Xenopus tropicalis: one gene and its partner. The protein of the gene in region 1 purifies or fractionates together with the protein of each later gene. This does not show direct contact. Links are inferred from orthologs where the notes say so. Each region holds a gene or a part of one and is shown on either strand. Other genes may lie near its edges.

What was found.
Region 2: the proteins of cnot10 (region 1) and capzb purify together in Homo sapiens (co-immunoprecipitation; 3 studies listed by BioGRID and IntAct, with this or other methods). This does not show direct contact. The link is inferred for Xenopus tropicalis from reciprocal best matches to the Homo sapiens genes CNOT10 and CAPZB.

What each region holds. Positions count from the first base shown.
Region 1 is NC_030682.2:50,256,003-50,259,697, forward strand, and holds the end of cnot10 (CCR4-NOT transcription complex subunit 10), read left to right. Parts: intron 1-2,604; coding exon 2,605-2,771; 3' UTR 2,772-3,090; downstream 3,091-3,695. UniProt on the Homo sapiens protein: Component of the CCR4-NOT complex which is one of the major cellular mRNA deadenylases and is linked to various cellular processes including bulk mRNA degradation, miRNA-mediated repression, translational repression during translational initiation and general transcription regulation.
Region 2 is NC_030683.2:129,996,599-130,000,424, forward strand, and holds part of capzb (F-actin-capping protein subunit beta), read left to right. Parts: intron 1-2,931; coding exon 2,932-3,073; intron 3,074-3,356; coding exon 3,357-3,473; intron 3,474-3,666; coding exon 3,667-3,732; intron 3,733-3,826. UniProt on the Homo sapiens protein: F-actin-capping proteins bind in a Ca(2+)-independent manner to the fast growing ends of actin filaments (barbed end) thereby blocking the exchange of subunits at these ends.

The DNA of each region.
Region 1 (3,695 bases):
GGGGTGCTTTTCTGAAGAGGGGACAGGACGACTGCACTGTATTAAGGAGAGGATGAATGGGGCCATGTATTGTGAGATTTTGAGCAACGACCTCCTTCCCTCAGTTAGAGCATTGAAGATGGGTCATGGCATATCAAGGTTCTGGAGTGGCCTAGCCAGTCTCCAGACCTAAATCCAATAGCAAATCTTTGGAGGGAGCTGAAACTCCGTGTTGCTCAGCGACAGCCCCGAAACCTGACAGATCTAGAGGAGATCTGTGTGGAGGAGTGGGACAAAATCCCTGTTGCAGTGTGTGCAAACCTGGTCAAGAACTACAGGAAATGTTTGGCCTCTGTAATTGCAAACAAAGGTTTCTGTACCAAATATTAACACTGATTTTCTCAGGTGTTCAAATAGTTATGTGCAGCAGTGAAATACAAAAATATTCTTTAAAAATCATACAATATTATGTCCTGAATTTTTTTTTTAAATGCTGTCTCTCACAGTGGGAATGCACCTACAATGTGAGTTTCAGACCCCGCCATGATTTCTAAGTGGGAGAACTTGCAAAATCGCAGGGTGTTCAAATATGTTCCTCACTGTAGCTATAGGAATCGTGTTATTTGCCTACTGGCAGCACCAGGGTTAATTTTTTTATTCTCTTTTCTCTTTTAAATGTCATTTAATTTAAGTGTTGGTGGGGGAAATTCTGAAGTGTTTTTACTCATTTTCTAAAGGCTTTCTATATATGACTGAAATCCATATTTCTACTGAAAGTAATTCGAGTTGTACATTTGTGTAATTGCATGGGTCCACAGCTGCGAAACCTCTCTCTCCATTGCTCCTTATATCTGTGCTTCCGATCTACGCTTTCTGCTTGCATGAAATAAGTATGCAAAGGTTCCAGCAGAGGAGTAGAATCCATATCCCATGCATATTTTATAAATGTAACATCATTTAAGTGAATATCCAAATTGCTTCATATCCCGATCCTCATGGGCATTCCCTGGTGCCATACTTGAATCATTAAAGTTTCCTTGCATGATACATTTACCCACTAGGGTTCCCATTCAAGAAAATCAATGTTCACAAACGCTCCACTGTGGTTGTCTCTCTGACAGATGGCATTGCCATGAGATCATATTTACACTGGAACAGGCATTCTGACATTAATATATTGGCACGTTATTGCATTATGCTATTCCCAGACACATTCTCTATTAGACCTTGAAAAATATTTGCATCCAGCATCCACATTTTCCTTTGTGTAATCCTAGCTCCTATAAAATGGGTTCTGCTGCTCCCCATGGATTGATTCCATTTAAACAAATTAGACCTAAAAGTGGGCAGTACTAGGCTTGGCCATTATAAAGATGTTAAGTGATTCAGTTGTCAGGGACCTGTTATCCAGAATGCTTGGGATCTGGGGTTTTCTCAATAAGGGATCTTTCCATAATTTGGAACCCCATACATTAAGTCTACTAAAAATCATTTAAACACTAAATAAACCAAAAATTATTGTTTTGCATCCAATATGGATTCATTATTTCTTAGTTTGGACCAAGTACAAGGTACGGTTTTATTAATAAAGAGAAAAAAGAATTTTGTAAAATTTTGAATTATTTGATTATAATGGAGGACATCGGAGCTGGCCTTCCCATAATTTGGAGCTTTCTGGATGACAGAACCCATACATTTACCTGAAATTAATTGGAAACATACATTTTGTTTACTTTTGGGACAAAATGATATACTAGGGAAAAAAGGTAAAGCCTACTTTTGTGTTTGCGTGTTGAAGTTTGGCAGAAATATACCCATGTTTTGCTGTATGGCTGGGATTTTGGATGCACACACTCAGCATCAGAGTACAGAGCATTTACTGTAATAACAGAAATAAACCTAATATTGAAGAAAATAAAGTGTTAAATGAAATTGAACTGTACATGCTAGCTAGATAAGGGCTTGTACTCTCACACATTTCTTTCTGTGCTGCTCGACAGTGGCGTTCTCCTACGTTCCACCGCAGGGGAGCACAGGGATAAGTGCAACCCTTTCTTCCTAATGGGGCTGTACTAACGCAGGCACAGGTCAGCACCAAAAGCAGGGGAATGCAACATTAGTACAGACCCATAAGGAAGAATGGGAAGCACTTCTTCCTGTGCTCCCCCCGCGGTGGAACGTAGGAGAACGCCACTGTCAGGCAGCACAGAAAGAAACACGTGTGAGTACGAGCCCTAAAAGTCTTCCTTGCAGAACACTTCTTGTTCAGAAATATTCTTTGGTTGTGCACAAGCACTGTGTGTCGACCCTAAAACTAACTATAACAGTAATCTGGGGACTGTGAAGGCCTTCCCTAAACCTTGAAATCAGATTTATTTTATTTTCAGCTTTGGTTGCGGACGTTTAAATATTGATTAATTCAGATTTTAGCTGATCAGCATCAAACAACAATAAAATATTCTGTATCTGGTATAAAAGAACAACATAAATCTAAGGCACAACAATAGGCTGGTTTAAGTGTAATGGTTGTTCGGGTCAAAGCATTTTGTAAAATGTTGAAACATCCAAAGCCAAATAAAACCAATCTTTCTGCTCAAAGCACTGTATTTATTTTTGTTTTTGTAGGCAATACCCAGCTGGCCTTGCAGATCATCAAAAGGAATCAGCTTCTCCCGTCCATCAGAATGATGTCAGATCTTCGAAAGAAGCCATTATTCCAGACAATGCATCAGCCAATGCAGCCAATGCAGCCAATTCAGATGCCAGCTTTTACTGCTGTTCAGAGAAAATGATTTATGGTGGTCCAGGGACTTGTAGAGAACATGGCCTCAAACCATTCAACTCAATTACTCAGTGATCTGGCGAATGTTCTTGGCATACTTCACTCCTGCTTTATCCACAGTATACATAATGTACAAAGGATCACATGTGCCAGGTTCATCAATTTTAACCAAGTAGGAAATCATGCCCTGTGACCTTTGACATGGGATTTCATCCTTGTTTTTGTAAGGAATGGAAGAAGTCATGACTTTTATATATAAAAAAAAATGTAAAGCCATCATATGGTCAGATTAGGATAACACTGGTATATTAAAAGTATTTTCTTGCTCACTTGTGTGTGTGTGTAGTAATGGTTGGAGATGGGAATGGTTATTGTGGGTATAGAATATCTTAAGGGCCAATTTAACTGGCTAGTTTAAGTTGACCAGTACTTGCCATTGAGCACAGAGCTTGATATAGGGGTTGGCTCTGTGCGCAGTGTACAACATGATATATAAAGCCAGATAATAGCAAGCTAGATAAGTTTAAAGGAAGGTAAAAACTAAGTAAGCTTTATCAGAAGGGTCTATGTAAATACAGCCATAAGCACTCACAGAAACGCTGCACTGAGTTCTCTGTCAAAAGATTTGTTGTGTCTGTTTTCTTCTGCCAGAGACACGCAGCTCTCTCATCTCTCCCCCCTCCCTCAAGAATGCTAAGAACTCACTCCCTTCTCTTGCTCTTGGTGCAGGAGCGAGGCATTATGGGAACTTTCTTTACACAGCTCAGCATTTTTTCTTCCTGTTTGGCTTCTGATCATCTGAACAGGAGAAATATGGGGAGACTTAATGGCACTATTGAGAGAACTAAAGAGAACTCTTTATTAGCCTTTCCTTCTCCTTTAAATAAGGGTGATTGTAACCACTTACCTTTATACCCCAGACTGGTGCTTCTAT
Region 2 (3,826 bases), on another chromosome or scaffold:
TATTTATTATGTTGGGGGTGTAGAACGCAGGCTGGTGCTGCCATACTGTTAAGCCCAATGTTCCAGTAGCAGGGGGTTGTAGTTCAGCAATAGCCAGAGAGGCACAGGGCAGGGACAAGGGGCATAGGGCTTGGCAGGGCTACTAAGCATACCATCTAACTGGGAATCATGGGAAATGTGACTGACAGGCCACAGATTGCAGGTTTTTGCCCTAATGCCCCTGTGGCGGATTGGGTCAGGGAGACATGGGGTAATTCAGTGCACATATCATTGGCTAAGGGGCAATAAAATGTTGCTGCTTCTCACTGATGGGGGCGCTGTGCTGTATGAGGGGGATTAGGAGTCAAGCTGTACCTATTGTGTAGCCCACAGCAGCCAATCAGATATTAGGGTTATCAATCAGATTCTAATGGACTGATGAGAGGAAACTGCTGATTGGTTGCCATGGGTTACCAGGCAGATTATAAATAAAAGTGGGAAGTGTAATGATTTGCTGTATCAGCACAGACTGTGACCCTGCTTGGCCTATGGGAGAGTCTGTGCGGTACAGTGTGCGGGGGGGGGAGAACTGACAGTGCGGGGGGGGTACTGTATCTCATTCCCCTGTGGGTGCCAGCTGGCTTGGCGCACGTGCTGGGTGCTGCTGGCACCGGGGCGCTGCACCTGCGTATCCCAGATTGCATTGCACCCTGGCGCCACCTCCGGGTGTGTCGATTATACTCCAGCCCCATAGGGGGGGCACTAGGAATCAAACTCCCCCTCTCTCGTTTGGCTGCACTGAGATAATTTCTGCCCTTTCTGCCCCCAACGTTCCACCCTGTTTAGGTGGAGACTGAACTGTCATTTCCTATAAGTTACTGAGTCATCCGGCTATTTACGTGCCGCCACGGAGTCAGAACCAGCAGTGCAGGGAAGGGAAAGGGACAGACACAGTGACAGTTACACATAACTATAAACCCAGTGAGAATGAGGAATGAATGGATATTGGGGAGTTGTATCAGGAGTCAGAACCAGCAGTGCAGGGAAGGGAAAGGGACAGACACAGTGACAGTTACACATAACTATAAACCCAGTGAGAATGAGGAATGAATGGGTATTGGGGAGTTGTATCAGGAGTCAGAACCAGCAGTGCAGGGAAGGGAAAGGGACAGACACAGTGACAGTTACACATAACTATAAACCCAGTGAGAATGAGGAATGAATGGGTATTGGGGAGTTGTATCAGGAGTCAGAACCAGCAGTGCAGGGAAGGGAAAGGGACAGACACAGTGACAGTTACACATAACTATAAACCCAGTGAGAATGAGGAATGAATGGGTATTGGGGAGTTGTATCAGGAGTCAGAACCAGCAGTGCAGGAAGGGAAAGGGACAGACACAGTGACAGTTACACATAACTATAAACCCAGTGAGAATGAGGGATGAATGGATATTGGGGAGTTGTATCAGGAGTCAGAACCAGCAGTGCAGGGAAGGGAAAGGGACAGACACAGTGACAGTTACACATAACTATAAACCCAGTGAGAATGAGGAATGAATGGATATTGGGGAGTTGTATCAGGAGTCAGAACCAGCAGTGCAGGGAAGGGAAAGGGACAGACACAGTGACAGTTACACATAACTATAAACCCAGTGAGAATGAGGAATGAATGGGTATTGGGGAGTTGTATCAGGAGTCAGAACCAGCAGTGCAGGGAAGGGAAAGGGACAGACACAGTGACAGTTACACATAACTATAAACCCAGTGAGAATGAGGAATGAATGGATATTGGGGAGTTGTATCAGGAGTCAGAACCAGCAGTGCAGGGAAGGGAAAGGGACAGACACAGTGACAGTTACACATAACTATAAACCCAGTGAGAATGAGGAATGAATGGGTATTGGGGAGTTGTATCAGGAGTCAGAACCAGCAGTGCAGGGAAGGGAAAGGGACAGACACAGTGACAGTTACACATAACTATAAACCCAGTGAGAATGAGGAATGAATGGATATTGGGGAGTTGTATCAGGAGTCAGAACCAGCAGTGCAGGGAAGGGAAAGGGACAGACACAGTGACAGTTACACATAACTATAAACCCAGTGAGAATGAGGAATGAATGGGTATTGGGGAGTTGTATCAGGAGTCAGAACCAGCAGTGCAGGGAAGGGAAAGGGACAGACACAGTGACAGTTACAGAGTGACAGATGATAGTTTGGGTTTATATGCCCTTTAATAAGCCGTATGATTGGATAGTGTGGGTGAGACTGCTGCAGCAGACAGGGAGTTAATATCCAGCTCTGAGCAGATGTTGAACAGCGCGGAGCTTATAGGGGATTCTGGGATTTGTAGTTGAATAGCAGCCGCCCTGCAGTGTGAGTGGGGGTGCCAGGGCTGTGTGGGACCAGGCAGGAAGGGGTGCAGGGGGGGCGGAGTTTGCCATGTGTTTGCTGTTAGTGGGGGGGGGGGCTCAGCTGGGTACAGACATCAGTTTAGCACATTCCTCAAATACCCATAAAAGCCCTTATGTAAAAACTCATCAGCCTTAACCACATCAAACAGCTGCAACCGCCTCTCAATCCCCTCACCTCCTGCCCCCTGCTGGTAGCAGTTTGTAATGCACCCATTGGCTGGTAGGAGGGTAATACACAGTGCAAGCTCCCAGCTCCCCCTGCTGGTAGCAGTATGTAATGCACCCATTGGCTTGTAGGAGGGTAATACACAGTGCAGTCTCCCAGCTCCCCCTGCTGGTAGCAGTATATGTAATGCACTTATTGGCACATAAAGGTCTAAGAGGCCAGTACCAATTTATTTCCCAACACCACCTTCTGGCAACTGCATGTAATGCAGCCAGTGGTGGAGGGGAGGGCAATACACAGGGAGCTCTACTACCCCCTCCTGCTGGCAACTACATGCGTTCCAGTTTGCATCACATTTGCCCCCCCTCCCCGCAGGTATTTTGAAGGGGGCGTGTCTTCCGTGTACCTCTGGGACCTGGACCATGGCTTCGCAGGAGTGATCCTTATCAAGAAAGCCGGGGACGGCTCCAAAAAGATCAAGGGATGCTGGGACTCCATCCACGTGGTTGAGGTTCAGGTAAGAGCCACGAGCTGAGCAATATCCTTAGGGCCACAAGCGGGGGGTGAGCTGCCAGGTGTTCAGCACAATGCAGTGAGGAATGGGCCCCGTGCGTGACTGCTCCTCGTTTAGGGGCCGCTCTGCTAATAAGGAAAAGCAATGGCCCTGGGGGGTTGGGGGGGCGTATAATTTGTTTCTAAATTCCTGAACATTTTGTTGTTGTGTTTTTACCTTGGGCTACGGCTGCCTGAGCGTCTCCCGAGCGTTTAACCCTTTCTCCCCTTAACCCTGTCCCCCCCAGGAGAAATCCAGCGGCCGCACCGCCCATTACAAACTCACCTCCACCGTCATGCTGTGGCTGCAGACGAACAAGACCGGATCGGGAACCATGAACCTGGGCGGAAGCCTGACCCGACAGGTACTGTACAGTGGCCTACTCTCAGCAGCTTTCCAATTGGTCTTCATTGAACCGACGTTAATACATCCCTATGGCTTGGGACAGAGTGGGAGGGAATGTGGCGAATGTTCTATGTAACTGCCCCGTGGGGGTCATTCCCCGGGCTCTGTAAGAACAATCTAGAACCCCATTAATTCCATGTCTGTTCTTTCAGATGGAGAAGGACGAGACCGTGAGCGACTCCTCCCCGCACATAGCCAACATCGGCCGACTGGTGGAGGTCAGTACCCGCGCCCCCCCTGCCGCTGGGCACGGCTCGGCAATTGGCCCATGTACCTTTAAGGCTGTGTAATCTATAAGGAATGTGGTTTTAA